Linked DNA regions of Saccharomyces cerevisiae S288C. Changing the gene in region 2 together with the main gene of any one other region gives a genetic interaction. Each region holds a gene or a part of one and is shown on either strand. Other genes may lie near its edges.

Region 1 (3,317 bases), on a different chromosome or scaffold from region 2:
GAGTTCCAGCCAAGACGAGCACACACGACACCAGAACGAGATAAACATGCTAGGAAGGGCATTGCGACCTGGGTGGCTGGGCATTACTAGGACGGTGGTTAAGAAACCAAGTTGCGGGTCCTACTTTAACAGAACCTTTCAAACAGCAATTAACACTACAATGCCTCCCATGCAAGAGGGCATGCTGAGTACAATGATGATGATGACGGCTACGGCAACAAGGATCACTGGCACAGTCAGTGAGCCATTAAACGGTTCAAATATAGTGATGCAACTCGATTCAGTGATGAGAAAGAGGAAAAAAAAGATGAAGAAACACAAACTGCGGAAAAGAAGAAAGAGGGAGAAGGCAGAAAGAAGAAAGCTATCTCAGGGTAGATAATAGGGCTGTAAAAACCTCTCACATGTTTTTCTCTGCTGTTTTTCCTTCCCTATTCTTCATATTTTGATATTATTTCATGTATATATTATGTTTGTATTTAGACTTTTTTTTTTATACGTTATACTATGCTAAGAAAACTCTTTACCAAGAAGTAAAGAACCCAGATCGCGATAATAGAAAGCACCAGCAGCATGACCGTGTGGAGTGCTCTTCTAGTAGCAGAATCCTTGTTGAACATCCATTCTTCGTACAAGTACGTAATACACTTGAAGCTGAACTTGCCCATTAACTCGCGACGATTCAACTCTCCAATTTCTGCAACGATGTTGAAGTTCCAATCAAAAATGCCTTCTGCGACGCTAATGATCTGCAACTTTTGTGCTTCGGTCAATTCCGTCCTGGTGGCCAGCTCATAGTTCTTCTTGTATTCCCATTTCAAGCGTGTTTCTTCAGTGGGACCCAGATCGCTGAAGGTGAAGAAGTTTGTGCCCTTTTTGACCAGTTCCTTCTGTGATAGCTTCTCGAAGTTGGGGAAGAGCCCCAGTCTTCTGTACAAATTCGATCGTATTAGCTTGCCGCCGGCGAAAAGCGCCAAGTACAGAACGTGACAGTAAGAAAGAATGGTGCATGGCTCCTTGTGTATGTTTTCGTGGATGTTATTGATAAACTGCTGTAGTAGCGGTGGCTTCTGGAACGTAGCCAGGAATTCGTTTAATGATTCTGTGCTTTTAAACGTGTTTGAGTATAGCAGCTTCAGGTCCTTATAGATCTGCGTAGATCTTCTAAAATCTTCGAGCCAAAACTGCTTCAGAATGGTCGAAGTTTGCAGCTCCTCCTCCGTTACGGGGTCATTCAGTAGGCGATCTATCTCTTGCTCGATGGCATCGAACACATAATAGTACGCCAGAATACCCTGTCTGTATATAAAGCCATGTCTCATGGCGATGGCCATCTTTATGCCCATGAAGGTATTGATTTTATTGTGGGCATCTCTGGTTTGAAAGTTGATTCTGTTTGCTAGCGCCCCCACGTCAGTGGGTGAGGGTATGATTGTATTGCTACTGTCCTCCATTTTTGCGGTTATTTTATGTGTGTGTGTGTATATATGCTGTGTTATATTGTGCACTGTTAAATAGCTCCTCCTTAGACTAAGCAAGAGAGTATGAGGAGGTTGCTCTTATATACAAACACAAGAGGGCGAGAGGGGCACCTGGCCATTGCTCCATCACACCCAACTCAGGTGTAAATCGTCCTACTTATGAAGGTCATTAGCCCATGTTTGAAACCGTGTGTTACATGGCTCAAATTCCACGGTCCGATAACGCCGACCCCGAGCAGGTGCAAATGGCCAGGCGGTATCGCCAATGATCCGTTTATCTAAAGATAGATAGATGGCCGAACGTGGACTGCCTCTATGGGTACAATAACATATGCACATGGCAACGGGTCTTGGTGCTCAATCGACGGGCACATACACCCTGACTTTCCCCATCATACGACGATGCTCTAGTAAACTTGCACCCGCACCTGTTAGATAAACAAGTGCGCCCAAGATCACAATACCGAAGGGGCGATATCACCACTCAGTATTCTACAGTCGAGCATAGCGTAGTCTGGCAGTATCCCGCACGATCCATTGTATTGTTTGTCCAAACCGCATTTTATGTGTAACGATTAATCGTATATACATGGCCTACAAGAAATTACCCTGCGGCGAAGGGTGAAAAAAAAAGTAGTGGAAACTAAAGAAAGAAGAGTTTAGTTACGGACCCTTTCAAGGATTGACACACTCCCAATATTTTGCTACATTATTGACCTTTGTTGAAGGAGGCGTTCGTTTATTTAATTATTTTGTTCTGTTTTGCCTACAACTGCGAATACGCTCACATTCTAGTTTGACCTTCACAAATTCTTATCATCTTCTTTTGTTTATTTTGACACACCCCTATTAAGTGTATTTGTTTTGTAAGTAATGTCTAAGCAGTTTGTTCGTTCTGCAAAGAACATGATGAAGGGCTACTCATCCACACAAGTGCTTGTGAGAGATGCCACGGCGAACGACTCGAGGACTCCATCGATAGACACTCTCGACGATTTGGCACAGAGATCTTACGATTCGGTGGACTTCTTCGAGATTATGGATATGTTAGACAAGAGGCTGAACGATAAGGGCAAATACTGGAGACACGTTGCCAAATCGCTGACCGTTTTGGACTATCTTGTTCGTTTCGGGAGTGAGAACTGTGTGCTATGGTGCAGAGAGAATTTTTACGTAATTAAGACATTAAGGGAATTCAGACACGAAAATGAGTCCGGATTTGACGAGGGACAAATTATCAGAGTAAAGGCTAAAGAACTCGTCTCTTTGTTGAATGATGAAGAAAGGCTACGCGAAGAGAGGTCTATGAATACAAGAAACAGAAGGGCGAACAGAGCTGCTAGGCCAAGGCCAAGAAGACAAAGAACAAGGAGCAACCCACACGATTCTTCTCCCTCTTACCAGGACGATTTGGAAAAGGCCCTAGAGGAGAGCAGAATTACTGCTCAAGAAGATGAACAACGTAGAAGAGAACTGGCCCAGTACGACGATGAAGATCCTGACTTCCAAGCTGCCTTACAACTAAGTAAAGAAGAAGAGGAGTTGAAGCAATTGCAGGAACTACAGAGATTACAGAAGCAACAACAGTCTCTGTCTCAATTTCAAGCTCCTTTACAACAACAACAACCACAACAACAACCAGCGTACTACGACATTTTCGGTAATCCAATCTCCCAAGATGAATACTTACAGTATCAGTACCAACAGGACCAGGAACAAGCAATGGCTCAGCAAAGATGGCTGGACCAGCAGCAAGAACAACAGCAGCTTGCTGAACAACAATATTTTCAGCAGCAACAACAAGCTGCGGCCGCCGCTTCTGCCTTGCAACAGCAA
Region 2 (2,981 bases):
AAGCTTATTACTCTCAATTCAGATGATCTTGTTCCTTTCCAACATATAAAGCATTTTCTTCCATAGAGTTACGTACTATTCCAGGAGGCTTTTCGGACTCATACCATATAGAAAACTATTTTTATGCTTCTTCATTTACTTCTACTTGTTTATGTTTATTTGTAAAATTACATTATTTAATTTCTTGAAAGTAAAAAACTTGAATTTCTGAAATAAATAAAAACTAGAGAAAAATTAACGATGAGGCATGCGACGGAAATCAATATTGAAACTTCTCAAAGCTGAACCACTGAAAGGGTTCTTTAGGACAATTTTCATTCCCTTAATCAACAAAAAATGACTAAAACCTACATATTCTTCTTAGAAAAAATACATACGCAAAACAAGATAGAAGAGCAACTGTTGATACGATAGCAAGGGTGACAGAGACTATTCAATTATATGTCTTTTATTTTCATTCTTATCACCACTTTTCCGTTTTCAACTTCGTTGACCGCAAATTAAATCTGTTCTTCTGGTGGTTGATTCAGTAATTCTTCGATTATTGGACAAAGCTCTAGTGGCCTAGTCATGCATGAAAACCTTTTAACCACCTTCCCATTTCGGTCTACCACAAACTTTTCAAAATTCCATTTTATCATTTTTATTCCAGACTTCCCGCTTACTGAATTCTTTAAGAACTTGTAGACGGGATCTTGCTTTTGCCCGTTGCAACGGATCTTATGTAGAATAGGGAAGGTTACACCATATTTATCTTGACAGAACTTATTAATCTCTTTATCCTTCTCGAACTCTTGATTTCCGAATTGACCACAGGGAAAGGCCACAATCACTAGACCATGTGATTTGTATTTTTCGTACAAGTACTCTAATTCCTTGTATTGAGGTGTGAACGCACAATGAGATGCTACATTGACTATCAAAACCACTTTGTTACGCAGGGAGTTGAAGGGGAATGGATTTCCGTTTTCATCTATTGGTGAAAAAGAATAAAATTCTTGCATCGTTACTTATAAATATTGTGTTTCTCCGCTTATATTCCTTATACGGGTTCACAATCAGAGAACCTCGCCGTGCACAATATCACCTACATGACTAAAATATATTTGTACATTACTGTGTTATATAATCACTTAATATTGTTCACCATAAGCAATCTCTGTAGTAGAGGTGAGCCCCGGCTTTAAGTTCTCTTAGATGTGGCGAACAAGGGATGAATCGCTTACCCTATAGAATTAGGGAACAGAAGGGGAAAGCAAATACGGAAAATTTTCCACATGAAGACGGTAGTGGGGTATGTCAAGGGGATACTAATGTATAATTAATATATATGTGTGTATCTACATTATTTGGTGTTGTTTTATTGGGTGATGGATCGAAAGGTGGATTCTATCAAGTCCTTCAACTCCTTATAGGATATAATAATACAGTTTAACTCATCGGGCGTTACCAACATTAACTTTTCTTGAATACCAGCGTCTAATTTGTTCAAACATCTTAGGACATGAGTTAAATCCATTATTGGTTTCCCATTCGAATCCACTTGATGGAATACGTAGTCATAAAATAGTATAATGGGGAATTTAGTCCCAGATTCGGACCAATTTATGTCTATTCTTGATTCGATTCTACCAAAAATGCAATTTAGCTTGTTGACCAGCCTAAATAATCTGCCATTTTCTAGTTCTCTTGATAAGACAGACTCCATGTATTCTGTATAGGTTTGTGACGATTCCAGGACCATGAACATCTTATCATAAAAGTGACTAGTAAGATCATGAATGCTCTTTTTGGAATCGCCGTTGTCTGATATCAGATACTTGAGTACATCCTTGAACTTATCATCGATCTGTCTCATGTCATCAATTGATTGAGGGGTTATTTCCTCCAATCGATATTCTTTAGGGGCAGTGTTGTTATTAGAGTTTTCAATATTAATGGATAGGTTAAATAATAGCTCTCCTAAATATTTGTAGTCTAGCTGTTGTTGTCCCTCTATGGTACTTCCGCCGGAAGATACTACGGTATCAGTATCATCATTGAACAAAAGGTCCATAAAATTGCAGTGTGATAACTTGATTCTCCCTGGGTCCCCAGTAATCAAAACTTTTCTCCAGTTTAATGTATTGCCAATACTCAAGTTTTGTGAATGGATAGAGTTTATTACATTGGTGAGTTGAACTAAATATATCCATAAATAATTATTCGTTATTGGAAACTTAGGGAAATTAACAAAGTGGTAATCATACAAAGATAGCGAGTTTGGGTAGTAGTCAAAGACCAAACAAATAGACAGATCACCAAATTTAGTAGTTTGAAAAATGTCCCTAAACTTTATCAAATTTGTACAATTAATTTTTGACCATATCTGATATATTTTGGATATTTTGTTTGGATTCATTGACTTATCGATGTTAGGAAGCCTCTTCAAAACGTAGGCTTTACCGTCATAATTGGAAAAAACTTTGAAGAGCGTAGTTTTATTTAAAAAATCGTTATTATTGAAGTTCAATGGAACCAAATTAAAATAATCTTGTACAATACTTGGTATAACTTTACCTGAAGAGGGGAAAACCTGCAAAATCGATAAGTTTTTCTTGGTTAAATCTTCTCTAATATTGTTTGGAATGAAAAGCTGATCTGCAGACCTTTCATTAGGCTTTAATAATGATTTCAATGATGATGGCTGTTCAGGTGCATATAGGTGATACTGTAGAAGACTGTGAGGAGGCGGATAAATACGTGGGTACTTAAGATTACTACTCTCTATGGGTGGCGGTTGCATAGGAGGTGGCACATTATTAGCCATACTCATATTGTTACTATTATCATCAGTGGCGTTTATATTTATGCCACCAGAATTTGCAATGGAGGGAAATGGAAAAGAATGTGCATTTGCATTAGTGTGAATTGAGGAGGTTGAAGACGGAGTGAAAATGGGGGCATTGAAGGGGTCGTAATTGGAACTCGAAGCGGTAGTT
Region 3 (2,901 bases), on a different chromosome or scaffold from region 2:
AAAGAAAAATGACAAGACTATGCCAATTGAGATGCCAGACAAATACGAACTCGGCCCTGCATATGTACCGCAGTTATTCACTCCGACGCGTTTCGTCCAATTCTACGCCGACTTGGAAAAAATCAATCAAGAATTACATAATTCATTTGTTGAATCTAAGGATATTTTCAGGTATGAGATAGAATATACCTCAGACGAGAAACCATACTCAATGGATTCGTTAACAGTAGGAAGTTATTTGGATCTTGCAGGCAGATTATACGAAAACAAACCTGCATGGGAAAAATACGTCGAATGGTCATTTGCGTCTTCTGGATATAAAGATGATTAAGTTAATATACACATAGAAATGCATATCATTCTTCAATTACAGTTTCTTTTTCTTTTGTTACACTATTCTTTCAAGTCAATTTCATAATAATACAAAACCATCTTTCTTATCATATATAGGGTGATGTATTTTTAATTATTTAATAGGGCCTAGCGTTATCGTGCGAAGATTAATTATTGGCATTTTTGAAATACTCCTTGGAATCTTTAACGTCAGGTTTGATGGTGGCGGCTCCTGGGGTCCAGTTGCATGGCAAAACTGTACCATTTTTGTCAGTCCACTGGAAACCTTCGACTAATCTCAAAGCTTCATTGACGTTTCTGCCAACAGATAAATCATTGATAGTGATATGTCTAATGATTCCCTTCGGGTCGATTATGAACAAACCTCTTAAAGCTATACCTTCTTTTTCAATCAAAACGCCATAGTCTCTGGATAAGGAATGATTCTTATCAGCAAGCAAAGGAACTTTAACTGGACCTAATCCACCGTCTTTTCTGGGAAGGTTGGTCCATGCCAGTAAGGAATATTCAGAGTCGGTGGAGGCAAATAAAACTTGGGCGCCCTGATCTTCGAATTTCTTGGCGGCATCGGAAAACGCAACAATCTCAGTTGGACAGACAAATGAAAAAGCCAATGGGACAAAAGCTAGAACAACGTACTTACCTTTATACTTTTCCAGTGAAATTTCCTCGAAGATACCGTCGACTACGGCGGTTTTCTTAAATGGTGGGGCTTGTTTTTGAACTTCTGCTACCATGATTGGTTTTTTACGTTCTTGTAAGGCTAATATATTCTTGAGCAAAAAACAGTAATAGTGTTCACTTTGGATATTTCAAGATAAACAATGTAAGTAGCAAAAAACAATCGAAATTACAAAATATATTCTTACAATCGTCTGCTCTAAATACGTTAATCTAAATCTCATCCATAGTTGATCCTTGATTACTCGGGTAACAAACACCTTAGCAGATGTGTAAGAGAAAGGAGAGCCTCGCCCGCTCCTAAACGACGCCAATTGTAAGGGGGGATCAGCCCTTCCAACCCCCAATGACTAAAACTTGTAAACTAGAGGGGCGCATATAGTTAAGATAATCAGATACTGGCCCAATATGATATTGTCTAGATCTTGAGGATGACCAACCAACAGATTCCTGGCCACAGTATCCGTGGTCATTGATTTTGGCACTTGGAAATTCAAGAGATGGTTCTAGTCGTCGTAGCGCTTACTAACAAAAAAAACTAGCATAAGCCCGTTGAGAACTTTTACACTATATTAATTGAATAATTGGACGTTTTGTCGCTTTGCGACAGCACTCTCCTACCAGGTACATACTTAGTAATGTCTATATAGGGCTACATCATTTTTCTGCAAAGATAAAATCCTTCAATTCCTTGTAGGCCTTGTCCAAATCATCATTGACAATAACTTTGTCATGGGCACCTGTCTCAGCATATGCCAATTCAGCTTGAGCGGCGCTTAACCTCTTGTTGATGGATTCTTCGGTCTCCGTACCTCTACCTTCTAATCTTTTTTTCAAATCCTCGACCGATGGTGGAGCAATAAACAAAAACCTGGCATTTAACTCTGGGATAGCCTTGACAGATTTGACACCCTGCATATCAATATCTAAAATACAAGTCTTACCAGATTTACTGACTTGTTTGACGGAAGCGACAGTACTACCATAGTAGTTACCGGAGAATTGCGCCCATTCAATGAATTCATTGTTCTTAATCATAGATTTGAATTCATCTACGGAGACAAAGTTATAGTCCTTACCGTTTACTTCGCCAGCTCTTGGGGTTCTAGTAGTGGATGAAACACTAAACCCGAAAGAATCTGGGTATTCAGCGAACAATTTCTTCAACAGTGTAGATTTACCTGTACCACTTGGGCCAGAAATTACGATAGGACGGGACATAACGCAAAGGTTTACTAATCTTTATCCGAAGTAAACTGTAGTTATCAACTAAAAAGAAACGCCATTGTGTATCCATTTATGCTAAATGTATTTTTTTTTTTCTTTTTTATGTGTTTCCAAGCTTTTTTTCGAAATTTGGAATGTACCGATGAGTACGGTTGCTATTAGCATCGACGCCGCCGGAAAGACGCATCACATATTTCGAGAACCGAAACTTCCTGTCGATATAACCTACACTTCAAATAGCTATCATTTCGAATCGTCGCAGTTTTGACAATCACATTTATACACTTACTGTCGTTTTTTATGTAAAGGCTGTGAAAATTTCACCTTATTAATGCTTATAGAGCAGAGTTTAGGATGAATTTTGCATTGTAGCCTGCCGTGAGCACACACAAGGAGTAGCAGAGCAGTAGTCTTGCCAAAGGATTATGACAGATGATATACCTTGCACAAACGTGATAGCAAGGAACTGCAAAAGTTGATATCGAACAATCATTATTCACGGTGTGACTTTTTCTGTTTCCGTTGCTTTTCTAGCTACTCTAAGATAAAGGGCACCCAAGATTGACAAATAGTTGTAGATTAAACATAGATTGCAAGCAGTGAAATTCAGAGGATAATCTTTTATCGCTGTCAGTACAT

The links. Genes that interact genetically often act in the same process or in processes that back each other up.
Region 1: of GPX1 (region 2) and HMX1, extra expression of one rescues a mutant of the other (dosage rescue), as found in Saccharomyces cerevisiae (one study listed by BioGRID).
Region 3: mutations in GPX1 (region 2) and TSA2 impair growth when combined (synthetic growth defect), as found in Saccharomyces cerevisiae (one study listed by BioGRID).

What each region holds. Positions count from the first base shown.
Region 1 is NC_001144.5:552,224-555,540, forward strand, and holds HMX1 (Hmx1p), read right to left. Parts: upstream 1,455-3,317; coding exon 501-1,454; downstream 1-500. Other genes in the region: mitochondrial 37S ribosomal protein mS38 QRI5, read left to right, coding at 47-382; ENT2 (epsin), read left to right, coding at 2,355-3,317. UniProt on the Saccharomyces cerevisiae protein: Plays an important role in the degradation of heme under conditions of iron deprivation.
Region 2 is NC_001143.9:388,880-391,860, forward strand, and holds GPX1 (glutathione peroxidase GPX1), read right to left. Parts: upstream 1,005-2,981; coding exon 501-1,004; downstream 1-500. Other genes in the region: TCD2 (tRNA threonylcarbamoyladenosine dehydratase), read left to right, coding at 1-26; PAN-complex poly(A)-binding subunit PAN3, read right to left, coding at 1,361-2,981. UniProt on the Saccharomyces cerevisiae protein: Glutathione peroxidase-like protein that protects cells from phospholipid hydroperoxides and nonphospholipid peroxides during oxidative stress. Has peroxidase activity using thioredoxin or glutathione as a reducing power. Involved in peroxisome formation.
Region 3 is NC_001136.10:1,364,572-1,367,472, forward strand, and holds TSA2 (thioredoxin peroxidase TSA2), read right to left. Parts: upstream 1,092-2,901; coding exon 501-1,091; downstream 1-500. Other genes in the region: PPN1 (endopolyphosphatase), read left to right, coding at 1-331; GUK1 (guanylate kinase), read right to left, coding at 1,693-2,256. UniProt on the Saccharomyces cerevisiae protein: Thiol-specific peroxidase that catalyzes the reduction of hydrogen peroxide and organic hydroperoxides to water and alcohols, respectively.